7 linked regions of the Xenopus tropicalis genome follow. The protein of the gene in region 7 purifies or fractionates together with the protein of the main gene of each other region. This does not show direct contact. Links are inferred from orthologs where the notes say so. Each region holds a gene or a part of one and is shown on either strand. Other genes may lie near its edges. The genes, in order: nedd9, asap1, edc4, dock5, map4k5, peak1 and crk.

Region 1 (4,120 bases), on a different chromosome or scaffold from region 7:
CTATTCTGGGTTTTTATTTATTTGATTTTTTTGCCTGCAGCTCTCCTGTTTGGAATTTAAACTGTTGCTAGGGTTCCATTTACCTTGCTAAGGTAACTGGCATGGAGATGACTATATAAATATAAACACTCAACACTTTGGATTAATCTGTCTTTTGGTTGAGTGTCTTTTACTGATGTATCATCGGTCGCATGAAAGATCGTTCCAACCCTCCACTGACGTTCAGGGCTGAATCGTCAGATATGGAGGTAGAAACAATAGGATTTCTACCTCCTTCTGCCAATTCAGCCCTGAACATAGATTTTGCTCGGGTATCTTCAATGGTGCCCGATCAGCATGTCGACCGATATCTGCAGTCTTCTGCGATATCGGTTGCCTCGGCGAGTTGCCATACACGCACCAAATATCGTACAGAACGAGGTTTTGTACGATATTATCGGTGAGTGTATGGCCAGCTTTAGGCTAAGGCCAAACGGGACTGATTCTCATCTTGCTTTTATCCACCCCTATGTTCTGATTAGATACTAATTTGTGTTCAGGCAATTCTTTAATATACCCAATCACAGTATAATGTAGTACATACTGGCCATAAGATGCATTGATATTTTTTTAGTTATGCAGAATATCTAGAGATAAAAAAAAAATTGGGTAATGTCTTGATCCCACAACAATGTTTAATTGCTGCTTAGGAGGCAGGGAGGATTTCAACTTTCAGTTAATATATAATAATTAATAAATACACTTTTTTTTTTAACACTTTGGTGCTCATAGTGGCATTTATATACTGCAGTTTATAAAGACAACAGTGCTTTTATACTATTTCCAAAGCAATATAAAGTAAATCTACTATAGCACAGCAAAATATAGTGTAATAGCTTACATGTACAACAATATATAAAATTAATGACTTACCTGTAAATGCACATAGTCATAGTCATCCATCCAGCTCTTTAAAGAACCATCGCGATTTTTGAATTTTGAAGATTGCTCTTTTAACATGTGGGGAAGCATCTTGCTCTGTATATCATCTTGTATAATCTGAGGCTGAGGTATGTTGCACATGTAGTCTGTGCTAAAACTGATGGAATCCGATGGTCTCTTTTTATGGCAAATAGTAGTTGACTGCTTAAATAAAAGCTCTGCATTAATAGTGATGGTGGTGGTAAGTTGCTTGGCATCATCTATGATTGTCTTTGCCACCATGACAAAACGTTCAAGACTGTCACATTTGTTGTTTGCTTTGTTGAAAGCAAGCACATTTATAGACCAGTTACAACTGTTCAGATCCTGACATGTTTGAGTGAGAATATGATGAGAATCATCTAACCGCTGAAACTCCCTCCTCATTTTATTATAAAGGCCATTTTCCTGCAAGTAAGATGCATTTGTTGTAGCCCCTTTAGCAAGTTGAAGGTATTCACCCAGAGACTGCTCAACATGGTCTACAGCACTATGAATCTCATTGATATGCCTTTCCATGTTTGTATAAGAGCGCCATTCTGAATTAACAAAAGCTGTTAACTGAGTTACAGATACTTCCACCATTTGTTGTAACCTTAAAAGTTTTTCTATGGCTGTGTCTGGATCCAAAAGTAACTTTGGGTCTTGGGAAGGAGATGAAGTCACAGATGACTCCTTAGATGTTGTGGAAGATGTTGACATATTGCTTCTTGTGCTTCCAGTGCTTGAGAAAGACAAGCGATTAACACCATCAGTTACGTCTTGTACCACTTTGCTTCTCTCTGAGGCCTGTGGGGGAAAGTCATATACTCCGTCTTGGCCATCTGAAACAAAATTTTCACTCTGAATTCCTCGAGGGAAGTCATAATCATCTGTTTGAGGTTGAGTCTGCTGGCTGCGGGGAAAGTCATAAACACTTGATTTTCTTGTAGCTTCTAGTGGAGGTGACACGACCATGCTCACTTTGCGGCTTTTCTCCTGGGAAAAGGTTGTAGAACTTGGAGGAAGAACATCATAAGTAGGTTCTACTGTCTTTTTACTTGAAGATGGAAAGTCATACATCTTCCCATTGTTGGATGGTAAGGTATTGTAGACCTAAAAATGCAAGCATTCCCATATTTATACATAATTAAACAGTAAATTAGGACAATTATTTTACATATTAACTGATAAAGGGGCAGCTTATAAATGCTTATAGTTAGCTCAAGTGCAAAATAAAGTTATTTGCAAAACAACTACTGAATGTGTAGCATCTTCGTAGTTTCTTTGTCACCTACCGCTTGTGAAGAAGGAACATCATAAATTCCTTGATCCTTGGTGGGTGAGCTTGAATACATTGAACCTTTCGCAGTTGCTGGCACATCATACACCTTCAATAAAACAAATGAAAATTAGGTTTCTAGATTTTATAAAAATGTAACTGTAAGAAGGACACTTAAACAATGTTTTTTGTGATTGATGCTTAGAGTTTCAGTGAGTGCGTCTCTACTGAAGAGCGAAATGGCTTTTTTTCTGAACCGATGATCTATGTCATGAAGTGCACAGCTAGCTGTATGTTTGATCAAAAACTGTTTGTTTATTGTTATTTTCCCTTTATTATTTTGTCTTCCATGTTTTACTAGCTTTTGCTGAATGAGCAACCTGTGTAACTTGACCATGCAAAGAAGTTTACATTATTTTCACTCTTACAAAAGTCCGCTAAAGGACACTATCTAATATTTTGGAATATCTTCTGGGTCAGTCAAATATGAGAACACTAAAGGCCGTGACAGATGGGGAGATTAGTCGCCGGTGGGATGGCATATGCGGTGTGGCGATTTCGGCCGTGTATGCTATCCCACCAGCGATTTATATTCTAGCCGGTGGGATGGCATTTCGGGGAGATTAGTCGCCCCGCGACAAGGGAGATGTGTTTTTTTGTGTCTTTTTTGTTTGTGCTTTTTTTTAAAAGGCTGTTAATCACTTTATAGTTTTAGAGAAAATTAGTTTTTTCTCTAAAACCAATCAAAATGAGATGTTGATAAATGGGCCTCCCACTAATTTTGTTCCAAGCGTTATTAGCCTGAGGCAAGATAATGGCAAAGTTAGTTTAGCAACACCTTAAATGCTGCAGGCTCCCCATGTGTGTTTTCATGCTAAGGGAGTGCAATAAAATATTTAGGGACAGCTGCGAGGTTACCTCAAACAGTCTGAAAATATCCATTGTCTACGTACCCCTTGAGGCCGAGTAGGAGGAATGTCATAGACGCTTGTCTGCCACCGGGAAGTACAATCATGACTGTAACCTTGCGTCATCCTTGGCTGGCATTTAACCTAAAGATTGTAAATACACAGAACACAACAGTTGAAAAGCAGAATTGATGCAGATGTGTTCTCTTACAGAAAAAAGCTGCATGCAAAATGAAAATCACATTATACTGTTAATTTTCCATGAGGCTGAAAATGTTGACTATTTTAATAAACAAGGTGACAAAATACAAATTAAAATACAGTAATACAACACATCCTACCCTTCTCAGTAATACATAACTGTATAGGGTGTTTTTTGGGATATAGATCTCAAATTATCTTTGAATTATAGGAAGGCCTTCTCCTATAGTGCCCATTTTAAGCACCTTTAACCTGATTATAACTAAGCTACTTAAGGTGGCCATACACAGTAAGATTTGCTCGTTTGGCAATATGCCACCTTGGATAGGTGATATTGTGCTACTGCAGTCGTTTGGCCCTTGGGCCAAATGATAGCATTATAATGAAGGGGGATACAAAAAGTGAGGACCACATCAATGAGCCAATGTGGTCCTTGTTCCAACAGAAAAAATAAGCCTGCCCAATAGACATCTGGCCCATTTTTGCCCAGATATCAGTCAGGGAGGCCTGTTAGAGGGCCCCATACAGGAGCAAATCTACCCTTGTATGGCCACCTTTAAAGTATGGTGATCCCAATTACAGCAAACTCCCTTATATGGAGAAGCCCAGGTCCAAAGCATTCAAGATAATAGAACCCATGCCTGTAACTTTAAATAATATCATGTCTTGAACCTTGACAGGTCTACTTCTACACCTAATCTTGGCAAGTTAGGAGTTAAATATCCTCAGCAGACACATACACACAGAAGTCTGCATATATTCAGCTGGGAAGCACTGACGCAGGCAAAAA
Region 2 (4,120 bases), on a different chromosome or scaffold from region 7:
CACTGAGTTCTCCCTCACCCCTTTCCCAAACTAAAAAGCTACCACAGATCGCTCCACTAACGATGATTAGAAATCACGCGATTGGCCGGGTATGGCGGCGCAGGACGGGGTGCCGCCTCCTACCTACCGCGGCCACCGGAGACTTTCTCCAGCTTGAATCGCATTCTGTTACCAATAAGCTTCTCTATCACTAGCCATATACATAAAAGTCACCCTACTTTTTATAATTTATGGTACAGATTAAATTATATACAAAATAAAGGAAATGCTAATTGTACATAACCGCGGTACTAATGATATTTATTACTGAGAGAGGGCTCGACGCCATATTTAACACTGTCTGTTCCATGTGGCTATTCACATGGGGGGGAAAAAATAGAATCTCTGCGATGGCCCGTGACTCCCCCCGTTGGCCCCATTTAGGGCTACAATGAAATTCCTGTTTCCGTAAAGGCAGGTTCAAGTATGCCGGAATCGGGTAAGAAATGCATGCATAATGTAAACAGACTAATATCGCTCTCATTCGTCTGAGTCCGACCAAACAAACCGCAAATGTCATTTAGAGATATATATATGTGTGTGTGTGAGTGTATATATATATTTATATATGTATATCCTTCTAACAAAAGAAGTCTTTAGATAGAAATATAGCTTTTGTTTTCTGTACTACTTGTAGCAAAGTAACGGCATGGAGGCGGCCAATGACAGGGAACAGACACAGGGCACATTAATACCATCAATAATTAAAATCTACGTGGAATTCTGCCATTGATACAATAAATACCTAGAGTCACTGGTTGTGTTCATACAGGGGGGGGGCTTGTTGGCAGGTCCGGGCAATGGAGAAGCGGTTTCCCCGGCAGATATATAGTGTTGAACGGAGACAGCCCAGATGGGGAATGTTGGCAGGGATGGATCACAGCTTGCCCAGAGGCCACGGACGGCTTCCAAGTGTCCCCCTTGGGCTACTGTAATACTGGCAAAGGCAGAAGGACGTTGTACACTGACAATACACATATAGAGTTCAGCACAAGATGAAGGTTTGGGATGAAATGGACTGTGTAACAGCAGCTTATATACACAGAGTGGAGCACAGAGCGGATTGCAGCGGGGGGGCAGATATGCTTTGCTTATTATTCAGTCAACAGGTGGACGAAGGACACAGGGAATACTCCTTTCCTGTCCGGGAAGCCTTCGATGTGCCCAATCTGCAGTAAATACACAAAATGAGATGATTAATAGACAATCACAAATACGGACATAATTAGCAAACTGCTTTCAGCTAAACAATTGTTTCTCCTACTCCCATGTAACTGGTGGAGTCCCAAGCCGGACTTGGATTTCTTTTTATTGAGTGCTATTCTGATACCTACTGGGAGCTGCTATCTTGCTCCCTTCCCATTGTTCTGCTGATCGGCTGCTGGGGGTGAGAAGGGGGGGGGGGGGGGATATCACTCCAACTTGCAGTGCAGCAGTATAGTGTGCCTGAGTCTGAGCTTTCAGAAGGAGGCAGTGCTACACATTAGAACTGCTTTCAGCTAACCTATTGTTTCTCCTACTCCCATGTAACTGGAGGAGTCCCAAGCCGGACTTGGATTTCTTACTATTGAGTGCTATTCTGATACCTACTGGGAGCTGCTACCTTGCTCCCTTCCCATTGTTCTGCTGATCGGCTGCTGGGGGGGAGGGGGGATAGCACTCCAACTTGCAGCGCAGCAGTAAAGTGTGCCTTAGTCTGAGCTCCCTTCCCATTGTTTTGCTGATTGGCTGTGGTGACTGGTGGTAGTTACAGTGCCAAACCCGTAGCTATTCCTTTAGCCACAGCTTATATACAGCAGTATCATAGAATTATCCCACCCTATAGTGTATCTCATGGTTACAGGATACTCACCCACCACTCCTGGTCCTCCTCTCCAGTGACGATAATCACTTCCCCCTCCGCAAATGTGAGTTCATCATCATTGTCCGCTTGGCAGTCGTATATTGTTTTAACTCGTTTAAGCTTATTCTTCCCCTTTAAAAGAAAAAAAAAAAGTCAGTTTGTTCCGGACAATGATGCTGTTCTAGATCTTCAACCTGGGTTGTAGGGCACCTCATTGCTATGATTATTGATTGTGATTTATCTGCACATTTTACGAAATGCTGACTAAGCACAGAACTTACTGTGTTTATCTTTCGGGGAAGTGGCACGGGTGTTTCTGGAAGAGGCGGTGGGCCATTATTGGAAGTTTCTGGAACTTGCTTCTGGACAGGGGTTTGGTCCGTGGGCTGTGCATTATGGGTCGCATCCACCGGCTGGGAATTTTGATTGGCCTCATTGGTATGAGGTTTGGGGACTATATCCGCAACAGGAGTTTTGCACATCACCTCTGCCAGGTTGGGCTTGGGCGGAAGATCTTTCAGCTGTGGCTTTGGAGGTAAATCTTGCGGTTTCGGGGGCAAATCTCCTAGCTGAGGTTTAGGAGGCAATTCTCCGGGCTTGGGAGGTAGATCTCCGACGTGTGGTTTCTGGGCGATATCCAAAGGCTGCGGTTTCGGAGGAAGATCTGCAATTTGTGGCTTCTGAGGCAGATCTCCAGGCTGGGGAGATTTCTGGAAGATTTCGGGTTGCTGGTTATACTTATCCATTGAGAGATGATGAGTGGTGTCTATTTTCCTAAGTGCCACTTTGGGGACAAACAAAGAAGGATAATGAGACATCTCAGAAACAATCACTGTATAGACAATTAGCCTTTATCCTATTTTACATATGAGTATCACTCATGTATTATAAGGGATAATGTACCCCCTACTGTAAATGATAAGGATATTAGCAGTCACTGAGGGGTTCTGTGCCCATATAAAGGCACAAGGCTGACGGCTGAGTTATATTATAAGGGATAATGTGCCCACACACATTTTACATATAAGACACAGGAAGGAAAGGAGGAGAAGACAAACTGTAGAAAGACTAACCTTTCTGAGGTAGTTTTGGTAGGACTCTTGGGCCTAATGCAGTCTTTGTTGTTCCTGTGCTAAAATAACAAATTAAACATAAAAGTACAAATTATATATATGTTTCCAGGTTCCTCTCCACAAAGAAAAACATTTCCTGCAAAACAAACTGAATTATTCTTCATCTTTTTACTCTCTGACTAAAGTGAATGAGACCCTCAACTTAAAACCAGATGTTAATGACTTACCCTGATGACTGTGACAATCTCTCAAACTTATTTAGAGTTCTGTCTGCAGCACTCGGGCCCAAGTCATTACCTGCCGGAGATAAATATACATAAATAAATATTTTATAAATGTAAAACTGACCACAAAAAGAGTATCAGCCAAAATGGCCTTTAGAGAGGGAATATACAGTATTTATAAGCAGGGGTATCTTACTGAAATGTTTTCTACATGACCTTATCCCCAATAGAGGTGCTAGTTTTATTCCAGCAGTATGGCAGCTTTCATGCTAGTATATTTGTCTACTTAATGACATAGGAATGGGAAGACACCCCTGCAGGTAAATAATGTATATTGTGCCGGCGATTGCCTGAAAGCAAATTTGCAATAAAATAAAGGCCTTAGAGAAGAGAGAGCAGCAAGCTGGAAAAGAAAGACAGAAGAATATCCCAGTGTTTCTGCTGCTGACAATTATTTTAAATAACTACTGCTCCCAGAATCCTTAGCTGAACCGTGCAACTCACAGGAGCCATTGGGCTGCAACATACAGATCGCTGGCTTTAACTGTTTCTCTTTGATTTAGAATGAAAGCAACATAGATACTAACAGATATATACTTTGTGTGTGTGTGTGTGTGTGTATATATATATTCTCCTTCGGGAAGCACTCACGGTATTTGTGAAAAAAAGCGAGTATTTATTTACACAAAAATGTCTACGCGTTTCGATCCATATAGGATCGTCATCAGGACCATATAGGACGTCCTGATGACGATCCTATATGGATCAAAACGCGTAGACATTTTTGTGTAAATAAATACTCGCTTTTTGTCGCAAATACCGTGAGTGCTTTCTGAAGGAGAATATGTTAATTTATGGTTAGCACCCGGTTCTAATTCGCTATTTTGGTGAGTGCCGATTTTGGGACTGTATATATATATATATATATATATATATATATA
Region 3 (4,809 bases), on a different chromosome or scaffold from region 7:
CTTTGAAGTCATTTTTATAGCCGAAAAACCTCCCCAAAAATTAAAAATCTAGAGAATGACTAGGGCAAAAATGGAGTGCAAAAGATTTATACAATACTCAAGCCAGTGAATACTAAATAGAAGTTTTGTTGTTTTTTTTGGTAACATAGGCAGCAGACAAAAAGGGCTTGAAAAGCACTTTCCAGGTTTGTTCTTCACCAACCCAAATAATTCCAAAGAATCCACTCCCGGAGCAGCGATTTTGGCCACGGACTACTTATCAATAAAACTTGTTTATCTATTTTAAACATTTTAGTTATTTTACTTTTTTTTTCCAGTGATTATACTTGTATTGTTGTTCAAAAACTCAAGTTAAAGGGTTAGGGTAAATTGTTTGTCTTTCAAGACTTTTGCATCCAGCTCATCAAAAGGTTACAAAAGGTTGTAAGATTTTTTTTTACCCACTCTGGCTTTGCCTGTGTTTGAAAAGTTATTTAAGTAAAATACAGTATTATTTAAGTAAACTATCTGTGCAGTGTGATATAGCTGGCAACTTTTTTTTTTTTTTTTATAAAACTGTGACAACTTTGTTTTGACATTTCCCACTGAATGCGCCTATTGAATAGATTTCTGCATTATGTATGCCGTCTGCTTGATCAGTTGAAAAAATTAGCAAATGCTGCTTATGTACTTATGCACTAGCAGAGCCAAAATTCCAATTAAAAAATTGGAAATTACATCTCTTGAAATTACCAGTTGTAGCTTTTTGCTGCCCCTGGTAACTTGCAGGCTGCTGTCACACATGGCAGCAGCACCCCTGGGTAACCTACATGCTAGTGGTAGCACTGGTAATTGTATGGAAGTACATTAGTTCATAAGGTCACACTGTATGTGGCTTCCTAAAAGTTGTTCTATAATAACTCCTTCTTGGTAATTATTTACTGAAACAATGTCTACTCATCAGCTTGACACATTTTACAACCAACACCTGCCATACATGTCCACTGAAACCCTACCCCAACGCCTTTTACACTTGCCCATTCTGGTTCCACCCTGGTCATTCCCTATCTCCATTGGCATATGTCGAGACCCTGTCTCAGTTCCCCTGTTCTTCTCATACCATGTTTCTAGAAAATTCAATATAGCTGTTTGGATTTCAATTAAATCTTTATCCTGAAGCCACCTGGATCTTTTCATGCACGGGGACTTAAACAGTTTGTTTTTGTTTCAAAAACATCAAGCCTCTGCGTACAGTGGCCTGAATAACTCAGGGCTCTGCCTTGTGTGTTATTTCATGTTACCACAAATCATTCATTTCGACACAGAATGAAATTAGGGATCAGCCTCCCAAATAAAGACGTGCTTTACCAGCTTATTTGTCCTTCTTTTAACTTTCTCTAATTCAATAATATTCTACTTTAGCACTTGAGACCAAAACAGCACTGCATTTTCTTCTAGATAGGAACTGTTTGTAAAGAAAAATTATCCACTCCTCCCATGAATGTATGCCCTTTTAATAAAACTCAAAACCTTGTTTGCCCTTGCAGCTGCTGACTGGCATTGCTTGCTGCAGCCAAGTTTCTACAATCCCTTTAGGCCCTTCACCATTATGGATTTGTCTAACACAGTCCCATTGAATGTATAAGTTGCTTGTATATTTTATATCCCAGGTGCAAACACTGAATCTCATCTGCCACTTAGCCACCCAGTTTGCAGAGATCCTGCTGAAAAAGAGGTCACATCCTGTATGGAATTAATTGACCTACAAAGTTTTGTGCCCCCTCATAAGTAATTAATGAACAAATTAAAAAAATAGTTTTTACAGAACCCTATGGGAGCCCACTAAAACCCTCACTGTACACAATGCTTTAGCCAGTTTCCTATGTATAAACAACACTATACAGTCATGGGACCGGTTCTCCAGAATGCTTGGGACCTGGAATTTTCCAAGGTTTTCTGTAATTGGGTTCACCAAACCTTAAGTCTACCAATAAATCATTTAAACGTTAAATAAACACAATGGTATTGATTTGCCACCACTAAGGCTAGATTATATTTTAGTTGGGATCAAGCAACATTATTACGGAGTACAAGGAAACCATTTTTAAAAATGTGATTTGTTTTTTGTTGATTAAAATGCATTCTAGAGATGGGCTTCTTTTAATTAAACTTTCTGCATTACGGGTTTACTGATAACAGATCCCATACCTGTATTATGAAAAATAAGACCTTTATTCAATTTGCAGGTATTCAGAGCCACACAGTTACAGGTATACTTAGAAAGCTGATGTACTAAAAAACAAAATGTGGCTTTTCTAACTAGAATTAAATATTTACCCTCAGGTATCCTCTAAAGTTAAAAACAAAAATGTTGAACAATTGAATGGCTGTTTAGTGCACACACTTATCAAATATTTGCTGGCACTAAAAAAGTTAAACCATGAAGTTTATGTTTGGTCCTCTTTTGTTCCTAAGTCAAATTCCAAGATATAGCCATCTAGCAAATTAGGGTGACAAGTACATTTCTCAGTTTCTATTCTTCACAGTAAAACTGTTCTTTAATCACTTCTGCTTTTTCCAGAATTATCAGGTGGCAAAACGTTAGACATGGCCACCATTCCCCCTTCCACTGATTACAAAATCAAACTCCTCCAACTTATCCTTAGGCAGAAAAAATGAATTAGTACTACTCAGAACAAAAGTTTTGCTATACAGGCATTTGTGATTTCTCTTACACGAAGGAAAACTATGAGCGAAAAAGTGGTCTCAGTTCCGTAACGAAGTGAAAAACATTACAGAGTACATTGATTTTGTATCTATTTAATCAACCACTAGCACGTAGCTACCAATTACTGCCTAAAACTGGCCGTTCATACTGTTAATAAATGTTAACTATTATAGTGTTCGCCACACTGCGCATCTTCCTCCCGCTCTTTAAACTTGGTTTTCCTTCCACTGACGTACCAAGTCATTCTGCCAAAATACTCCTACCAAGCTTACCTTCAGGTCGGTCTAGTTTTAAGATATCCCTTAGATGCTGAGTCGCGTCCACGTCAATACTGGTAACTGAAGCCATACTCTATAATACGCTAAAATCTTATTTCGTTCCCCTCTCTCACCAGACTCAAAAGCACAAATAACTACCTCTACTTCCGCTCCGTTGCGTTCTTAATTCCCATCTTCCTCTCGGAAACAAGAACAGTTGCATGAAGGTTCCTGGGCGTACTATTTACAACCAATGAAGTTTCGCATACGCTAACCATAGTTTATATAGATATGGGATTAATTATATTCCGGGTGCACGTGTTTTAATAAATATGTTTATATATTTTTTATCATTATTCCTCCCGATCTAGTCTTGGCAAATACGCCACAGATTAGGTACATTCTAGCTCTAGCTAGAGTATGTTATTTCGACGCTAGAAATTGGTCTCAATCATGTAACGTAATATATAGGGGTGCTTAAGTATACCAATAATTTTATGTTTTAAGTACGTTCATACAGCAGAAATTATTTAACTACAATTAGCCCCATTTATTATCAAACAATTTCATTTTTACACAAGCTTATATGGTGGTTTGTTGCTTTTTGCCACATTAAAAGTATTTCTGTTTATTATTTTTATTATAATGCCTGGGGCACACACCATTGGCTCCTGCTCCCTTCTGCATCTCCTGTATCTGCCCTGAAAAGTATAGCTTATATTAAATCTGATCTGACATTTAACTGCTCCGAATGCCAGTTTGTCACATACCAGATGGAATTAATTGGGCTGCATAGTTTTGTGTCATCCTGCCCTTAAAGGAGAACTATACCCCCAGGCGCAAAAAGCCCCCTTAGCTATCACTGCCTAGACCCCCCTCACCTCTTCCTTATCACATAGTTTTTAAATTTAAACTCTGTTCCTATCGCTAACCGCTACCTAAAAATGCAGAGTAGCGCAGCAGCGAACCTGGCCGACATCATGTTAGCAACTGAAGACTCTTTGGGTCTCACCGCCGACACGGACCCTGCTTGCGCATGCACAGTTGAAGCTGATTTTCCTGCTACCACCAACTGCACATGCGCAAGCAGGTTCATATCGGCAGAGAGACTCAGAGTCTACAGTTGCTAAGATGTCAGCCAGTTACGCGGCTGCGCTACTCTGCATTTTTAGCTAGCGGTTAGCGATAGGGACAGCGTTTAAACGTAACAACTATGTGATAAGGGAGAGGTGAGGGGGTTCTAGGCAATAATAGTTAAGGTGCTTTTTGTGCCCTGGGGTATAGTTCTCCTTTAACATGAGACTTTGTATTCTCACGCGTTTTCATGCGTATATCGGCTACATGTGCCTGCACCCGAGCGTATTCCATTCATTCGGGTGCAGGCACAAGAATCAGGTGTAGGGCTGAATTTTCGCCAAGCGTTTTTTCCGCTTGCCGAAAATATCATCCCTACGCCTTGTGTGGCATCAGCCTAAGAGCCCATACCTTGTGCACTTTTACCTTCCAATTTGTGCCTGTTTATTACCTGACCTCTTAGAGTCCCTCTACAGAGCAGGGACCTTCTTCCAACTGTGACTCATACCACATGGCACTTAATTTCTGTGTATTTATACTTATTTATTGTTTTTATTATAACACTTGTCCTCCCTGTGTGTAATTGTGTAAGATTGTACAGCGTTTCATATCCTTGTAACGCTTTATAACTAAAATTATACATACATACATAAATACATACATACATCTCCAAACACTGGTACATTACTCACAATACCCTCCCCTAACAAGTTGAATAAAAGTGTAACAAATACAGAACCCTGAGGGTACCCATTAACCCCCATATGTGAA
Region 4 (4,120 bases), on a different chromosome or scaffold from region 7:
GAGCAGACTTTTATAGACACAGGGAGACCCAACCACAGGGATATATGTTGGTTTGCAATTCATAAAGACTGAATAAAAGGTTTTGTGCCCCTTTAATTACTTCTGCCTTTATACCTTATATACTGTATAAGCAGACTGACTTCCCGTTCTCACCCTTAATAATATTATTATTAACATTTATTTATAAAGCGGCAACATATTCCGCAGCGCTGTACAATAAGTGGGTTTCATACATTGGACATACAGAGTAACATATAAAGCAATCAGTAACCGATACAAGAGGTGAAGAGGGCCCTGCCCAAAAGAGCTTACAATCTACAATATCTCCACTCTCTTTCCCTTTAGTTCCTCCAAGATACTTTGGATGCTCTTTTTAACATCATGATGGAGACCCCAGACAAGGAGAGCTGTGATGTTCTTGTGTTTGATGCCCTGGTGAGCTACCAGTCTGTGCTTTCTACATGTTATTCTATCCTCTTGGTACCCTCCTTGTCTTGCCATTTTCTCTGTTATTCTGCTTTTCTTCATGTATCTCTTTTCTTTCACTTTTCTCTAGGTGTTTATTATATCACTGATTGCAGATATTAAGTTCCAGCACTTTAACCCTGTCCTAGAGACGTATATCACAAAGCATTTCAGCACCACGTTGGCTTATGAGTAAGTTAGTTGGTTCTTTTGGGCGGTGAGTTGGCCAGATTTAATTTAAAGATTTAATTACTGTAAAGATGTTTTAAGCTAATGAATAATTTATTGATGCTTTTGGTTCGATATCTTTGTAGCAAGGAAGCAAATGTAGTCTGGAGGAATAGTATAGAGATGATGTGCCTCCATGCACAGAACTTTCTATATCTGCCCTATGGCATATAGAGTTTCACCGCAAGTCTCACCCTAATTGACCTTCAAAGTAGGTTTTAAGCGTATTTAAGATGTCAAATTGGTATATTTTCCAAATCCTACCCTAAGTGGTGTTCTTACTTAGCAACTCCAGTGCTGCTCCAGCCCCCCCAGAGATTGTAAATCTCTGCATTTAGTCCCTTTGTGATCTTGGCTGACACACTCATACTTCATATACTTAGGGGGTGGAAGGATTGTTCACCTTGCCAGGCTTAATTTGCTGATGAGCTTCTAAAATAGTGTCTGGGTTTCCAGCCTCATTAATGAGATATATATATATATATATATATATATATATATATATATATATATATATATATATATATATATATATTATAAATAATATGAAATGGCTTGCTCAATATCAAAGTGCCACATCAATATGACGACTTATGTTCTAGATCTTATGTACAGACCTTCAGACAGTGGTGAATTAGCTAAGAATTGTGGGTGGTTGGACAGCCCTGTGCTAGGCTAGATAAAGGTTCCTCTTGATATCCCTTAAAGCAAACATTAACCTTGTCTTCTTTTTCCTCCCTCTTAGGAGGTTAATAAAGGTCCTTAGTTGGTACGTGAGAAGTGCGGATGATCCCTGCCGTCAAGAAATGCTGTTCTCTTCCCTCAAAGCCATAAAATACCTGTTCAGATTTATTGTCCAATCACGTATCTTGTACCTGAGGTAAGGATTATAACTGCAATGTCTGCCCATGTTGTGCTGCATTTTACACTTTAATGCCCCCATATTTCTATTAAACAGGTGCTATAGATTACTTGAAGGTCAACTTTGGGTCTGTGGGGCCTCTAGTTGGGACAGTTCTGCTCTTATCGTTGTTGATACACGGAATCTTTTTCTCAGTTTGCCCTTGACCTTTCTGTTTTAGGTTTTATGGTCAGGGCGAGGGCCGGGATCAGTTCAACGATTCAATTCGCCAGCTCTTTCTGTCTCTGAATGAACTGATGGACCGACCGCTGGACAAGGCTGTGAAGATAAAGGTCAGTTTCTCATAATAGGGATGCCAAGCTTCCTATCTCAGACAGGGCCAAATGTGCTCAGTGCTGTCCTACTGTCTTACAGGCTGCTGCTCTTAAATACCTGCCTGGGATCATAAACGACCTGAAAACTGTCTTCGACCCAGTGGAACTCAGGTAAGATAAAATGCACATCACACCTTAACAGTGTATTATTTAACTGTATACTCATACACAGACTTAAAGTAACAAATGCCCCATATGGATAACCTAAAACCACCTTAACAGTGGTCTCTCCTCAACTATTGCTCCATGTGGCACAGTCCAGGCTCCATTTCTTACATAAACCCTCCAGATAGTAGAGGTCATACATCTTTTAACCATGCAACATCTCCTACATTCATATATTCATATTTTTTTTTCCTGTGGTCAGTCGCTCAGATTCAGACTTTTTTGTGTGAAACAGGAAGAACTTGGTTAAGGGTGCTATTATTTATAGATTTTACAGTAAAACCCATATCCTTTCATTTTCTGCATTCTAAACCTAATTGTAACATAAAAACATTGTTTCAGTGTCCTTTTTGCAAAGTTTGTGCAAAGTGTCCCCGCAGACCAACTCGTCCATCAAACTCTAACGTGTATGAGCAAAGTGGTGGAAAGTGATCTCTTCCTGCAGCCAGGTCAGTATGGAAACCAGCACGGCCAGCATGTTGTCAACTAATACTAGAACACGGTGGTTTTTGTGATCCTAATGCCAGACCATAAGGGTATTCATTTTAAATTCCTTCTTTCTTGCTTTTCTATTTAAATTTTAACCCTTTTTAATGAGTAAATAATAAAGGTTAGATTTTATTATTAGGTGTGCCAGTTCGTTACATGTGTTCTTTTCATTTACTTTATAGACCATAGAAGTAAGCAAGACTTTCTCTTTTTACACTGTTTCTTCAGAATGCAGAGATGCTCTACAGCCTCTTCTCATCGACCAGCTTAGCGGGCAGCTGGATGATAATTATGCCAAACCTGACCATGAAGCTTGTGGGCATCTCTTGAGCAACATAATAGAAGTCCTGCAGAGCAAGGAGGTGGTGAGTGAAGGGAGCTGAGCATTGCTGAGGAGATCAGGATTGGTTGGAAACCAGATCTACTCAACAGCAGCAGTTGAATGGGGGGGCAGAGATCAATGGACAATAAGCAGTAGGAGGCTTAGGACATACTACCTACTGTGTTTATTATGTTAATTTCACCTTAGTCTCTCTAAAATATTATTATTGATCTGCTGTCTCTACTCTCCAGGGGGAAACATCACTCCACATTCAGCTCATCATGGAGCGACTGCTTCGAAGGATAAATAGGACAGTGATTGGCATGAGCCGACAGTCACCGCATATAGTAAGGCAGTGTTTGTATAGGCTACTGGTTTGGGCAGGGGTGTGTGGGCTAGGAAAAGTGTGGGGGGGGGCAGGTTGAGCCAGGGAGTAGGGGGCACTAGGTTATGAGGGTGCCAGGCTGGGGCAGGAAATGTTAGTGATGCCACGGTATGAGACCATGACAAGGTTGCACTTGATTGGATGCCATACTAGCTGTTTGTGATACAGTTATCCTATTATATAAGCTGTTGGTGAGTGACCCTGGCATTGCTAAATAATATGTGATACCTTGTGTCTGCCCTGCCCCCTTTTCCACACTCACAGGGCTGTTTTGTGGCATGTATGACTGCTCTTCTAAGACAAATGGATGATTACCACTATGACTACTACATCAGCACGTTCCGCACCCGACAAGACATTATTGTAAGTTCCCCTACTTACTTGCATACAGTGGGCCAACTCTCTGCTATGCAGGGGCTTCTGGATTCCCACTCAGCACTTAATTCTCTCTTTCTCTCACCCATTCTTACCAGGATTTCCTGATGGAAACATTTATTCTCTTCAAAGATCTGATTGGGAAGAGAGTTTACCCCAAGGACTGGATGCTGATGACAATGACACAGAACAAGTTCGTTTTCTCACTCTTCCCATTTCCTTTTTGTGTTACTGGGCTTTTCACTAAACCCAATATTATGTAGCTCTCTTGCCTTTCCTATGATGTAGACTGGGATCTTCTGTGTCCTTCAACATAGTAATGTGAATGGGAATCTAATGACCATGTTTTCCCTGCAGGGTTTTTCTCCGAGCCATGACCAGATTTGCTGCAGTTTTGAACAAACTGTTTCTAGATGAGAGCAGCTTTGAACTCCAGGTGAGACGAGTTTCTCAGC
Region 5 (4,120 bases), on a different chromosome or scaffold from region 7:
GGGTTTTGTTTCATTGTCCATTATGGAGGGATTTGTTTAATGTTTATGGCAGCAAGGCAAGTCTGTAGGACAGAAGCAAAGAATCTTCTTTGATTATTTATGCACATTAAATGATAAACAAAGAAATGTAAGAAAGTTAAGGTGGCCATGAACTACTCACCCCATTCACTTATGACCCAGCAACGGGGCCACGTCAGTTAGTTAGACGGAGCCCCTGAGTCAGGCAATAGCAGCAGCGCATCCGGGACCCGCACATCCGGCAGCGCATCCGGCATCCTCCCCCCCCCCCCCCCCCCCGTGCATGTGTAAGTGCCCTAGTCGATGTGTAAGTACCTGAGTAGACGGAGCCCCCAAGTCAATAGCAGCATTGCATCCATCACACTCACATCAGGTAGAGCGAATCCGGCATCCACCACACCCGCGTGCATGTGTAAGTTCCCGTACATGCGCACGTGTGTCCGTGTACATGCATGGGGTGGCGCGAGACGAATGCCGGATTACTCGAGTATAAGCCGAGGGTTCCTTTTTCAGCACGTTTTCAGTGCTGAAAAACTCGGCTTATACTCGAGTATATACGGTACTTGGCCTTGGTCCTAGGTAGCGGTTACTAAAATCCAAGGAAGGAAATTAATCTTGTTGGCTCCTTCTTAGGCAGTGCATTTGGGTATAGTCATTTAAAATATTACAGATTCAAGGCGGCCATACATGTTAAGATTTTTCTCTCCCTAACAACCAATTTTAGTGCGATTCTAAGAATCTGTCAAATTATCATAAATAATAGGTTACTGGGCAATGAACGATCGCACATCTAGCAATTTTTCATCTGACATCGGTCAGAAAATTGATTGAGCGGGTTCCAAAATTTTCGTTGTTAGCAATGAAATTTGCCCATTGTCCAATTGTTTGCAGGACCAAGTAGGTAGTTTTCCTAGTTTTCCTAGCTTCAACTAGACCATGTCACTTGAAATGGTAGTTTTCGTTGAAGGACAAATCATATTTTTAAACAATCATTTCAGGATCAGCTTGGTCCTTAGATAACTAAAAGATCTTTTAAAAATCTTAACCTGTATGGCCATCTTAACATCTAGAGGTCTGTGTTGGACCACCCTCGTAACTGACTGAATAGACTTGGCTTCCCCATTGAACCTAATAGCAGCTCCATTCTTGGGTTGTTTAATTTGCTTTTAATAGCAATTATCAGTGGAAATATTGTTTTTTTATGGTATACTGTACACAGGTGTTTGAAGTGTTTTAGAGGGCAGTTAAACATAAACTTGATTTTTACATGTGAAGTCTGTAATATTAATTATTCAACACAAGCTCTTAAAACTTAAAGAGAACATAGATTACTTACTTTTATCAGATGTATATCAGGGTGGCTGCATACAAAAGTGTGACGTATCCATCTGAATGGACCTTTAGTAACCATAGCAAAAACCCAAAGTAACTGAACTACCTGTATTTATGAATGCTGTAAATTTCTTGTAATACATTTCTGGTTGTCCCTCAATGTCTCTAATTGTTTAAACATCAGAAATGGTGTCACATTCAGTGTTTCACCATGTGGGTACATAACCATTTTATTTAACCAAAAACACAGTGGGACCAGGAAAAAATACTGTAAAATCAGGAAAAATTTTAAATCAGAGAGATGTGATGTGATGTTAAAGCATTATTTTTTAAGTACTCAAAGGATATAAGCACAGGAGTCAGTTTTACTTTGAAATAGAATATTCACTGTATTAATGATAAGGGGTAAGCAGTGCAGCATTAATGTTACACAATGGAGTGGCATGTGCAAGACCTCACTCTCAGATGCACAACCAAAAGCATTAAGTGATTTGTGCATGACTGTATGAGGGGCAGACTCATTGCAACTGACTAGTTACTGGCAGAACCTCTACAACGTATTCATCTGGTAAGATATGAAATGTGGGAAAACTTAAAATCAGGGTATGTAAAATTGGGGTTTTACTATAGTGCCCTTACAATGCCTGTATATAGTAAAGAGGAAGGGCAAGACGTAATATGTAAAGAAAAAAGAATAGTCTTTTAAAGTTGTGCAGGCACTTTTCTATAAAATAGTTAATGTTTAATATTAGTAATAATTGCATAAATTATCTCAAATGTGTAGCAGAAGTGAGAATCCTTCTGCTGTAATTCAGTTGGAGTGTGTGTGTGTGGCTGTGTGTGTGTGTGGCTGTGCTAGGCATTAAACAATAAAACTGCATAGAATTTCTCACTACACTAAGAAATATTTCAATTTTTCTTGCAGCCTCTTTCCATGGTTCGACATACCATCCGTTCTACAAGCAAAGCTGCAAGAGCTGAGAGGACAGCCTCGGAACTAAATTGTAAGTCTTGTTGCAGAACTGCAATGGTATTATCAAACTTTGACTGTTCAGTTGCTCTAAACCACTTTTGAAGAAGTGCTTCCTAAACCATTGAAGAACAATACAACATTTGTATAATAGTTTCCTTATTCTGGTTAAATTTTCATCGTATTTAACTATAATGTATTCTGCCCACTCATGTCAGCTACATAAATCATTACAAGCAAAACATGTTTTAAAAAGAACGCTTGTGCAGTAAGGAGGGGGATTGGAACTATAAGAATGCAGATTATTCATAACATCCTGGGATAATCTTCTTAAGGCATGCTTGTCTCTATTGTAGATTACCACCTATTTTTAAGGCAAATATCAGATTAAAGATTTACAGACACAAAGTAATGAATTATTTTGTATTACATCCTAGCATATGATTTCTTAAGAATTATTTTTTTTTAAAAAAAAGCATAGATTTTTGATTGCTGTCCACTTTTTTAATGGCATTGCGGAGTCAGACCTTTACTATGTCCGTATCTCTTTACCTCATGTAAGTAAATGACTGCTTGGTGAGTCTACATCTGGTCTTTGGTAACTCCTTTTCTCTTCATAGTTGACAAACTGCAGTTTGAGCCACCTTTAAGAAAAGAGACTGAAGCCAATGAAGGAATGGTAAGTATGGCAAACCTAATACGTATATATAATATGTTTCATTTATTGTGGTGGCAGTGACTTAAACCACTATTCATTGTCATCACCGTAAATGAACCTATGCCAAAAACATCCTTTATTATTTAGTGATGCAGATTTTATACCCTGTTCTGTGGAAATCACTTGCCATATAATTCCTAGGAGAAAGCATTATAAGGAAGCCAGACATCCTGTCTACCTTTCCATGAAAAAGGATATGAAGCAGCTGCCAGTAGTTCCATTTGTTTTTGTCCAAAGTTTTCCTAAAGACTGTTGCAATCAAATGTGTGTTTCTGCTTTTACATGCATTAATATTTTGAGTGCAGCACTATACACAAACTAATGCTAACAATGTTGCAGCCTTTTCCTGTAACTTCTAAAATTATAACAAATAATTTAGACTTATAATTGATCTGCTTTTGTAGTTGCTAAAGTCACTGCTATCTGCTTTTTATGAAAGCTGGTATAGTAGCTGTAGATGTAATAGCTGTATGACTGTTAGTTTATACCCTGAACAGTGACCGGCTAAATTACATAAAAAGTTGTCTGAGTTTATAACAAAACCACAATTAATCATGTGGCTGACATTTTGCATGACTGCTTTCTATAAATAATCTTACGAACTGAGGTATGGCACATGTAATTGTTTACCTTTGATTGAGCTATGGGTCAGATATTTTCAGATGAGTGGATTGACATGTTTGCATACAAAAAAAGGCTTTCATATAACTCATGCTCAGCATCTGACATAGACATACAGACGATGCCCTTTTTTATTTGTAAACTCACAGAATGCTGCAAAAACACACAAATAACGTTTCTTCATATCTGTGCAACTCAGTCAATTCTGAACCACAGGGGTTCTAAATAAAAGATGCAATTGATGCTTAATGTGAAAGGGAATGAAGTTCTGGCCTTTTTTTTTTTTTTTAATACTTTTGCAGACAAATACCCGCAGGATCATGCAGCAGTCTATTCTACTTGTTTTTATTTTAGGGTTGCAGCAGAGAGAATGATTTTGGAGCTCAGTGGATCTCCTTTGCCAATGGTGCCAACAATGAGTGAGTAAAACAAACACCATTTTTGTTTGTTTCATTTAGCAA
Region 6 (4,784 bases), on a different chromosome or scaffold from region 7:
AGCATTGCCCCAGGATATGACGAGGAGCCCACAGGGTAACAGGATACACATTAATCACATGATCTTTACAGACACCCAACTCAAGACCTGCAAGGGCAAAAAAGAAACTCATTATAGAAAGTTGCATTGAAACAAAAGCAGGTTACAGAAGATGAAGCGAAAGAGAGAAAAATGTGTAAAATGTGTAAACATGTAAAACATAGGTTCCATTCCACTGTAATATGTGTGCATTTTATGAGCTGCACTGGTGACAGCTAGGGCTCTACATTGTGGCATGTTTGCACAGAAAGATATGCAATGCAGGCTGCACTTCCATCAGAGAATGCTAAGATTAGAACTAAGCTTCATGTACAGTGTCAGTACCAACTGCCAAACTCCCCCTCGACTAATTCCATGCCAAATAATTCATTTCACAGAACAGGTATAGGAGCAGCAGAAGTGCCAACCACCCCCACATTATCTATCCACTGAATACAGGGCCCCCTGCCAGTACCCCTTTTTCATACATACACAGCACTGCCAATGCTCCAAAGAAATCCAGCTGGGGTTGCTAAATATATACAGTACAACTTTAATTTTACATCCCCTGATTTAACGTTTTCCTGCATTTTACACCATTGTTTTGTGGTCCCACTAATATATAACACATAATAAACTTCCCTGATCTTACATTTTCCCAAGTTTTGCACCATCTTTTTCTGGTCCCTTCAAAAAATTAAAATGGGGGTTCTACTGTATTTCCATTGGTTTTCCTATTTGATTTGCAGGTTGAATGTTACTATTTGGCTACTCAATATTTGGGGGTTTGGTTTGGAAATAATCCTGACTGTCTAAACTCTGCGCTCACCCCCACCCCACATGCTATTTCTTCTGCTCCAGCCTTCACTGTCATACCAGGCTTGCAGCCTCAGCTATTCTCTGCTACCTGTTTCCGTCCATGGAGGAAGGAAGACATTAAAGGTCTGGACACAGAGAGTGACCCTTAGACATTAATGACCTGCCTCTGAGTCACACATGGGTGTGAGGCAGCATTCCCCTGGGAGAGGCCTACCAAACATCACTATTAACCCCTTTTTATTCTACAAGTCATTGTTCCATTTATTTCATGTTGCTTAGTCAATTTAGTCAATGAACATCATAAGTAATGGAAATGAATATGCATAAACCTTCAGCATGATAACTTTCTACTAAAGACCCACACACTCCTCTTATGTTCCGTATGCAAACTTTATATTTTTCATATACATCACAACAGGAAAGCATGCTGCCCTCCAATTAGTATTGAACTACAACTCCCAGAATCCTGGCCAGCCAAATCACTGGTTGCTTTTGCCTGATATGCATGAAGGATTTGATTTAAAAACATAGGTACTAAATTGCTTCAGCGCAAGTATCTACTTAACAAATCAGATCTCTGCTTTCATTTCCTAACTATAGTAAGACTGTGTGAAGCTAATTCAAGATTGGTTGCTATTGGCAACTAACCACTCCAGTGCAATTTACCACTTACAGTATATTAGTAAATGGGCCCTGAAGTATGACACTAACAGGCCAACGTATGAAACTATTTTCCAGGGATCCTTATATCTGTGTGAGTTAATGTACCACACTTCCCCCTAACTCATTACTAACCCTTAATGGCCACCATGAGAACGATTATTTATGTCATAGGCACCCTATCTCCATAAGTATAGGTTACAAACCTTATAGCTGGAACTAACAACTTATTATCTGGCCAAAACATCATTCAAATACATATGTGCAGTTGGTCAGTTTGAAAACACCTAGGCATTTCCAAGGATAATGTTAAAAACAGGTGTTAGCCTTGGAAATGTGGGGACGCTTGGCAGCTATGCAGGATAAGGAATAAACCCGTGAGCTGTTATTTTTCTAGCGGTTGCCCCTGACTTCCTCTTTATACACAGAGCTCAGTGATGCATATACAGCACAAATACAGTGTACTCAGTGGGCCTTTGTAGCGGATACAGAGAAAGCTGGTGTGTGTGTGGGTAACAGGCTGCTGCATTCCTGTGTGTGTGGCTCCTTGTAGCGGCTTTGACAGAAGCCAGCATCTGCCTGTGACAGCGGCCGGAGAGCAAACAGCATGTGTGCACGTATAGATGCGCCAGGGCAGCAGCATGGGCTCCAACATGTGTGTGCCTTCCAGTTTCAGGGCCATCCCTTCTGCTTGTCGGGCCTGGGAAGAGTTACAGGAATGCTCGGTATGTCTGGGGGGGGGGGGGGGGGGGGGGTCAGTCTGGGAGCAGGGAAAGTATGTGCTATTTACAGGACATAATGGGGGGAGGAGGAACACAGCCCAGTTAGAAACCCGTGCAGCACCCACTGCTTAACTCTACTCGGCCAATATCCGCAGCGCATTGCCCCTTCATTCCCTTCCCTACTGCTCCGTCCCGGGATAGCCACGTTAACCCCGCGATCGCCAGAGCGCAAAGCCTAGCACTGTTTCTTTCTTTTCCCAGAATACATCTACCCAAGATTATTCCTTAGCAGCCAAAGCATGTCCAATCTGTGGTCTGTAACCAGTTCTGTGCCAGGAACCCATTCAGCATCCCCACATCGGCAGCGCACATTCGTACACATTAATATAAGAAATGGCCATTTTAGTACTCACCAGAATGTGATGGGTCTGGTAGATCTTCTCCTGGCGAAGGGAGAGTTAAGCGGAGCAATCAGCAGCAGTGTATATGTGTGACAGGTCTGAGTGTGTGATTCAGCCCGGTGACTGTCACTTCTATCTGTGTGTATGAGACAGCGCTGTGTCTGAATGTGACATAACCGTGTGTCAGAGCTGTCTGAATGTGACAGACCTGCTTGTGTGTGACATCTGCGTGTATGTCAGGCTGCTCTCTGAGCCTTCCTGATGGATGTAGGTGCCGGCCTGTGGCACTGATGCTAGTGTATCTGTATATGCATTGTGTGGGGTGCAGTCGCAGATCTGTGCGGCGTTCCTGTGTGTGATCTGTGCATGTGTGTGTGTTAGCTGGCCTGCTGTCTGTGTCTGAGAGCCAGCGTGTGCGTGTGTGCGTGTGTGTGTGTGTGTGTGTAAGTGTGTCCGTCTCTCCCTCTCCCCCTACAGGGAGCCTGAAGAGCAGCAGCAGGCAAATTATTTCCTGAAAAAGGAAGGCATTGCTTTCACATATACACACTCAAAGCGCACACAATGCACGGATATACAAAGTGAATGCGTAATAACACACACCCTGGCAGGAATATAGCGGGCACCGCCAAACAAATCATATAGTTACGAGGAATGAAGAAAGAGACAGCTTATTTAGTGTGGCTTCCAAGGGCCGCAGTGAGTGCAAGGCTGAAAGCCGAGGGATTGGGGTGGAGGTACAGCCCCTTTATGGTGAACCTCTGTGTAAGGGGCTCCTAGCAAGTCAGCTGTGCGCGCTTTCCTCTAGCCTGGCATGGTCTGTGCTTATATTGCTTGGAAATGAACCAGAGCTGCTCCTTTTCTTCCTATGCTATTCACATTCTGAGCACCCACAAAGATACCATCCACTGCTATTGCTATACATCCCACACTGAATTGTTCAGTTGAGGATTACACTGCACCTTCATTTTTCTACTTCTATCTATTAAATACATTTTCTTTTCATTTTCAGATGTTAATTTTGCTAAGATACTAGGGCACTCATCCTGTAGCTTTGCCTAAGGCTTGACTAGACAATCAGGGAACCATCAGGGTTCCCCATTGCAAAGGGGACCCCAAGATATGTTAAAGTGTGATTTCCAGGCCATAAAGGTATACAACAAACGGATCATACTGTGAGCCTACAGAGACCCACCAGGCATCAGGGCATTGATGCAGTTTTTGCCCTGTAGCTGAATATTGGTCAGGCAACTCTTAGGAGGGCACCATACATGGGCTGATAGGCTTATAGCCTGGGCCGAAGGGGTCAGCAGCCTTTATTTGCGCCTGCATAGCTAACTTAAAGCAATAGTGAAATGTTATGATTTTAACAAAAAGTGTCACTATTCTTCTATAAGTCTAGATATTTGCCAAGATTTTTTGTAATTCTGGCCCTCTGCCTTCCCTCAGCTACCTACATACTAACATTTTTCCACCAAAGAAACAGCTTTGCCTTCTCAATGACACAGTGCTTGAGGGCGGGGAAATGTTCTTATAGGTTGGGGCCCTTTATATTTTTGTCCTCCAGCCTACAAGAATGTTGATAAGAAGTCTGAGTGATGCTTGCATGAACCCTGTTTTCCAAGGCTGTAGTAACAGATACTTGGGATCATTTGGGAATAAATATACAAATTCATATATGTAAAAAGAATGAAGAAAAATAATGAATACAAAAAATAAAAGTGATAGTGTCCAGGGCTGCTTTAAAGGGTTAGTTCACCTTCAACTTTTAGTATGTTATAGAATGGTCAATTTTTGGCAATGTTTTAATTGGTCTTAATTTTTTTATAGTTTTTAAATTATTATCCTGTGTGAGGCTACAATGTTATTGTTACTTTTTATTACTTATCTTTCTATTCAGGTTCTCTACTGCTCATATTCAAGTCTTTTTTTAAAATCATTGCTCGGTTGCTAGGGTAACTTGGACCCTAGCAACCAGACAGCTTCCAAAATTCCCAACTGGAAAGCTGCTGAACAAAAAACAAAATAATTCAAAAACCACAATTCATAAAAAGACCAATTGCAAACTGTCTCATAATATTACTTTCTACATCATACTTAAATTTACTTTTAAGGTGAACAATCTCTTTAGAGCACTGCTAGGCCCAGGGCAAATACCCTGCTTGAG
Region 7 (4,742 bases):
TTCTTATTCACTGTAACAGCAGCCAATGTTTGTAACATAACCATGAAGACTATTATTTCACCTAGAGATGTTTAGTACTCATGTGTGATTGTTACACTAAAGCTGGCCATACACGCACCGATAATATCGTAACCTCGTTTCGTACGATATTCGGTGCGTGTATGGCAAGTCGGTGAGTCGACCAGTATCGCAGGAGGCTGCTGATATCGGTCGACTCGCCGATCGGCCAGGTCAGAAAATTTTGATTGGGCGCCATAGAAGGCGCCTGAGCAAAATCTGCCGTCAGGGCTGAATCGGCAGAAGGAGGTAGAAATCCTATTGTTTCTACCTCCTTATCTGCTGTTTCAGCCCTGACGGTGTGTGGCGGATCTGGCGATGGTCGCACGAAACATCGCCAGATCGCCACGTGTGTGGCCACCTTAAGCCAAGGCTGTTTAAATGGTCTAGCACTCTAAGGCTATTGTAACACTAGTCATTTTCTCCACCAGGCAAGAAAAAAAAACTGCATGGATTTTAAGAATGCTAATTAAAATATGGTAGAAACATTAAAAATAAAAAAAATGAAGAAAAAGTACTGTATTTTGTATGGGTTCCAGGTAATCCAGTAAAAATATAGTGTAATTTATACTCAAAATGTATACTCAGAATCATTGCAGATGTGTCATGCAAACAAGTAGCACTGGAACACACAATACACACATGTAAAAGTGAAGAGCACAATCTGGTCTTTATTCCCACAACTTAAACCATTGGGTGACAGTGTGAATGTAGTATGTCCTATTCCACATACAATTAACAAAAAAAAAAAAAAAAAAAAAAAAAAAAAAAGAGAGAGAGAGATGGCCCTTCACTACTCTGAAATTGGGCCACACTTGCTAAGAAAATTATCCATGTGTCATGGACAAGCATGAATTGTTTCCACTGTGTGCTAAGGGGACTTTTATAAGCAAAATGATTCATGATTTTACAAATTAACTAAACGTTTCTTATTAAAGTTACGGGATTGGAAGAAACTGTTTTACGAGTTTCAGCAACTGGCCCACAATATTAATTGTATCACTATAAAGAAAATAAACGCTTATCTTTCAGTCCACAACTAAATGACTTTCCCTGCCTGCAGCTGCTTCCTGTAGGTTTGAAGGGAAATGTACTACCAATGGTAGACTCTGGCGCTGCCAGGTCAGGATTGCATGGGTATGCCAGTGATTGTTCCCTATATGGTAGTTCGGGCATTTCTCATATAAAGTGTGTGCCCAGTTCCAAAGTAGTAGCTGCTTAGCGTGCACGAGGGTTTTGTTCCTGAAAGGAATAAGGGTACAAAATGTGCCCAAATTCTTAAAGCACAAATCTGGACAATAAACTCTTTGGTGCTTGGACTTAGATCTTAATAATTGTGCATAAAAGCACAGTGGAAGACCTATATAAACAAATAAGTTGAGTAAAGATGATGTGACAATATAGTTTCCCACAAGCATTGTCCCATAAAATAAGGAACTGTAATACTGGGGAATTCCTCAACACATTTTAATTCCATGGGGGGGGGGGGGGGGGGGCAGAATGAAGCAGCAAAGTTAAATGAAAAACAAGATTTGCGGAACCGACTGATTTGTTTGTTGTAAATTCAAATTTTACCTACGTTTGGCGCAGAGATTTTGCTTGGGGTATGTTGCAATAGTGTCTTTGGAAAAAACAAAGATTGAGCCACAGTGCAATTTTTATTTATTTTTCAGAAAATCAAAGGAAGCCATTCAAAGTGCAACCTAGACTATGAATCAGTGGTTTCTCATTTGCTATCAACACTAAAAGGGATTTTTACGGATGCATTCACCAAATCAAAAGAAAAACCTTTTGTTGGATGTTCCTGTTTAAGGAAGTTGAACACACACTTTGAGGTCAGGTATGCAAACCACTAACACAACTATTTCCTATGAAATCACGGAAAGCCTCTACATAATTGAAATATGAAAAAAAACCAGTCTGCTCACAAACTTACAATTTTAAATCCAACTCCTTGTTTGCACTATAATGACCTGGGAGCAGTTGTCCATTCAGTAAATCTGGAACACAGATGACTATGAGGCCTGGACTGGCAATCTGTCTATTCCAGTGATCCCCAACCAGTGGTTCGTGAGCTACATGCTGCTCCCCAACTCCCAGTGGCCTCAAAGCAGGTGCTTATTTTTTAATTTCTGGTTATGAGGCAAGTTTTGGTTGCATAAAAACCCAGTGTAATGCCAAACAGAGCCTCCTGTAGGCTGCCATTCCACATAGGGGCTACCAAATAGCCAATTATAGCTCTTATTTTCACCCCCAGGAACTTTTTTCATGCTTGTGTTGCTCACCAACACTTTTTCCATTTGAATGTGGCTCACAGGGATAAAAGGTTGGGGATCCCTGGTCTATTCTGTTAAATGCCAGAGGGGCTACTGTGAGTTGCCATAGACAGTCACTATCAAAAATGTTACAAGTTCTGTGTAATTAAAAACCAAAAACTGGGCTACCACTGCGCCCCAACTAAACAGGGATATAACATGGCTCTAATTCTAAGACTCAGTGACAAATGGCATATAATAAGGATGGACTGTGGCTCTCAAACTAATTGCTCACAAGCTCAAATGCCTACAAATGAGTTTAATGCCCCCAGTGCACCCAATACCGGAAAACCTTTGCATGCATTTCATTTTTCTATATTATAAATGTATATCTATATATATCTATATCTATATATATATATACACACACCAGTGTTTAGTCACTATGAGCAGTTTGGATAAGAGAAATAAATGCAAAGGGAATAGGCCCTCGGCTTTCTGCTGTAAGTGCCTGGCAGCTGCGCCTCTACAATTCACTAACACATGCAATGCAAAATATATTCTATTTATCGGTATTAGTGCAGCCGCCCCCACCTCACATGCGCTGCATGTAGCCCCTACTCACCAGTCCCACTCTGCCGGTTGTTGCTGACGCTGTTGATGATATAGTGGGAAACCTTGGAGTTCTCAGAGACAGACAATACGTAGTCACCAGGTATAGTTGTGGAGTCTCGAACTAAAAACACACCGTGCCGCTGGCCCTGCAGAAGATTGACCGCCTCTTGTCTGTTCAGCTTGCCCCAGTACCAGCTCGCCCGGTCCTCGGAGTCGAAGTTGCCCGCCATGGCTTTCCTCCCCCTATGGGCCTCTCCCTAGCGCCCCGGTACTCGATACTACCACCGGCTTAAGGCGGCAAAAGACGCCGCCCCCAAACCAGACGCGGCAACCAGTCTTCTAACTACCGATCCCGACCTCACCAATCCCGAAATGGCGGCACAGGAAAGATCTGACCTCACCTTCCGGAAATGCGTCATTGGAGCAGCGACTATGGAGCGCAGGGGGCGGGTTCTCTTGACAAGTTAGAATTCTGACTTTTAAAAAGCCGTGTTTGTGCTTCTTGCCGACCAAAACTAGTGCGCTCCCATTCGGTAATCAGGCCGCTGGGTGAAATGAGCCGTTTTAATCACGTATTTGTCAGTTTCTATCTTAGGGTAGACTAATCAAAACTAAACTACTGCTGTGATTGGTAACACCAACATTTTACTACTGGCGTAAATGAGCACCACTGTCTCATTTGAGTCTTGGAAGTGAATATTAGATACGTGGTAGGGGAAACCTTTGCACGGAATAAAATACATATATGTATGCCTGTTGTGAACAGTCGCAGGTTTTATCTAGGCAATGGCAAGGTCCAAAGGTCCATTACTCCAAATTGGTGGGGGATCAGGGCCAAGAGCAATATAGATTGTAAGCTCTATGGGGCAGGGACCTCCATCCTCTTGTGTCTTTGACTCTTATTGCAACTGTATTTATCTTGTATCTATCTGTATTTATTGTTATACTTTGTATTTATCTATTATTATCTTAATAATCCCCTGTTTGTATTAATGTATTCTACTGTACAGCGCTGTGTACATAAGTAGCGCTTTATAAATAAAAATATACATACAATGCAATATGTCCAGAGCCAAAGCCACTATTCATCTGTCCCTGATTCTTTATAACTTTATTGTAATAAAATGTATTTTAGGGAATAATGAACCATCTGCTAAAATTAAAGGATGTTAGAAGTCAGCAAAAAGTTTTATGACCTTATGAAAGCAGCAGGCCAATATATAGGGACTCCATCTTACATCCTCATCATGTTATAACAGGGGTTTTTATAATACACAACACAATATACAACAATATCATAATATCAAATTATAAAAAAAAAATCATGGCTCTTATGTAAATACTAAATAGTAAATATTGCCCCCTATGGTAAAATGTAAGGATATTGTAAGTATGCATGTATATCTTTATTTATAAAGCGCTACTTATGTATGCAGCGCTGTACAATAGAATAGATAAATACAAAGTATAACCATAAATACAAGGTACAGTTGCAATAAGTTAAAGGAGACAGATCCTATAAAAATTATGAATGTACCAGTGAATTATACTCCTCTAGATATAGAAGGATTGTGCTTTAAAAAGTTGTGTTTCCTGCTGATCTATTGAGAAATTCCACAAAAACCCCACTAGCCCCGCCCATCCGTTCCACTTCCTGCTGGCTGAATTCTCTGGATGAGCTGGGGAGCCGGTGGCCCTCCCTACACTGCACTATAAGATAGGAACCAATCAGCAGCTAGGCTGACCTGATAGGGAACTGAAGCCTGTCTGTGCTTGTGTGACTGCAGGGTTGTGATTGGCTCTCCCCCTCCTACT

Evidence for each region.
Region 1: the proteins of crk (region 7) and nedd9 purify together in Homo sapiens (affinity purification with western blotting; 3 studies listed by BioGRID). This does not show direct contact. The link is inferred for Xenopus tropicalis from reciprocal best matches to the Homo sapiens genes CRK and NEDD9.
Region 2: the proteins of crk (region 7) and asap1 purify together in Homo sapiens (affinity purification with mass spectrometry; 3 studies listed by BioGRID and IntAct, with this or other methods). This does not show direct contact. The link is inferred for Xenopus tropicalis from reciprocal best matches to the Homo sapiens genes CRK and ASAP1.
Region 3: the proteins of crk (region 7) and edc4 purify together in Homo sapiens (affinity purification with mass spectrometry; 3 studies listed by BioGRID and IntAct, with this or other methods). This does not show direct contact. The link is inferred for Xenopus tropicalis from reciprocal best matches to the Homo sapiens genes CRK and EDC4.
Region 4: the proteins of crk (region 7) and dock5 purify together in Homo sapiens (affinity purification with mass spectrometry; 3 studies listed by BioGRID and IntAct, with this or other methods). This does not show direct contact. The link is inferred for Xenopus tropicalis from reciprocal best matches to the Homo sapiens genes CRK and DOCK5.
Region 5: the proteins of crk (region 7) and map4k5 purify together in Homo sapiens (affinity purification with mass spectrometry; 4 studies listed by BioGRID and IntAct, with this or other methods). This does not show direct contact. The link is inferred for Xenopus tropicalis from reciprocal best matches to the Homo sapiens genes CRK and MAP4K5.
Region 6: the proteins of crk (region 7) and peak1 purify together in Homo sapiens (affinity purification with mass spectrometry; 4 studies listed by BioGRID and IntAct, with this or other methods). This does not show direct contact. The link is inferred for Xenopus tropicalis from reciprocal best matches to the Homo sapiens genes CRK and PEAK1.

The regions. Positions count from the first base shown.
Region 1 is NC_030682.2:90,770,292-90,774,411, forward strand, and holds part of nedd9 (enhancer of filamentation 1), read right to left. Parts: intron 3,274-4,120; coding exon 3,175-3,273; intron 2,331-3,174; coding exon 2,238-2,330; intron 2,056-2,237; coding exon 913-2,055; intron 1-912. UniProt on the Homo sapiens protein: Scaffolding protein which plays a central coordinating role for tyrosine-kinase-based signaling related to cell adhesion. As a focal adhesion protein, plays a role in embryonic fibroblast migration.
Region 2 is NC_030682.2:142,077,088-142,081,207, forward strand, and holds part of asap1 (arf-GAP with SH3 domain, ANK repeat and PH domain-containing protein 1), read right to left. Parts: intron 3,253-4,120; coding exon 3,183-3,252; intron 3,015-3,182; coding exon 2,956-3,014; intron 2,667-2,955; coding exon 2,164-2,666; intron 2,015-2,163; coding exon 1,892-2,014; intron 1,209-1,891; coding exon 1,134-1,208; 3' UTR 1-1,133. UniProt on the Homo sapiens protein: Possesses phosphatidylinositol 4,5-bisphosphate-dependent GTPase-activating protein activity for ARF1 (ADP ribosylation factor 1) and ARF5 and a lesser activity towards ARF6.
Region 3 is NC_030680.2:41,311,860-41,316,668, reverse strand, and holds the start of edc4 (enhancer of mRNA-decapping protein 4), read right to left. Parts: upstream 3,118-4,809; 5' UTR 3,056-3,117; coding exon 2,980-3,055; intron 1-2,979. UniProt on the Homo sapiens protein: In the process of mRNA degradation, seems to play a role in mRNA decapping. Component of a complex containing DCP2 and DCP1A which functions in decapping of ARE-containing mRNAs. Promotes complex formation between DCP1A and DCP2.
Region 4 is NC_030679.2:127,713,944-127,718,063, forward strand, and holds part of dock5 (dedicator of cytokinesis protein 5), read left to right. Parts: intron 1-345; coding exon 346-435; intron 436-556; coding exon 557-657; intron 658-1,438; coding exon 1,439-1,573; intron 1,574-1,775; coding exon 1,776-1,887; intron 1,888-1,969; coding exon 1,970-2,040; intron 2,041-2,436; coding exon 2,437-2,543; intron 2,544-2,811; coding exon 2,812-2,948; intron 2,949-3,156; coding exon 3,157-3,252; intron 3,253-3,554; coding exon 3,555-3,653; intron 3,654-3,763; coding exon 3,764-3,858; intron 3,859-4,022; coding exon 4,023-4,101; intron 4,102-4,120. UniProt on the Homo sapiens protein: Guanine nucleotide exchange factor (GEF) for Rho and Rac. GEF proteins activate small GTPases by exchanging bound GDP for free GTP. Along with DOCK1, mediates CRK/CRKL regulation of epithelial and endothelial cell spreading and migration on type IV collagen.
Region 5 is NC_030684.2:92,952,255-92,956,374, reverse strand, and holds part of map4k5 (mitogen-activated protein kinase kinase kinase kinase 5), read left to right. Parts: intron 1-2,275; coding exon 2,276-2,354; intron 2,355-2,940; coding exon 2,941-2,999; intron 3,000-4,013; coding exon 4,014-4,078; intron 4,079-4,120. UniProt on the Homo sapiens protein: May play a role in the response to environmental stress. Appears to act upstream of the JUN N-terminal pathway.
Region 6 is NC_030679.2:92,898,483-92,903,266, forward strand, and holds the start of peak1 (inactive tyrosine-protein kinase PEAK1), read right to left. Parts: upstream 3,328-4,784; 5' UTR 3,221-3,327; intron 3,132-3,220; 5' UTR 2,633-3,131; intron 88-2,632; 5' UTR 1-87. UniProt on the Homo sapiens protein: Probable catalytically inactive kinase. Scaffolding protein that regulates the cytoskeleton to control cell spreading and migration by modulating focal adhesion dynamics. Acts as a scaffold for mediating EGFR signaling.
Region 7 is NC_030678.2:46,102,317-46,107,058, forward strand, and holds the start of crk (adapter molecule crk), read right to left. Parts: upstream 3,286-4,742; 5' UTR 3,158-3,285; coding exon 2,938-3,157; intron 1-2,937. UniProt on the Homo sapiens protein: Involved in cell branching and adhesion mediated by BCAR1-CRK-RAPGEF1 signaling and activation of RAP1.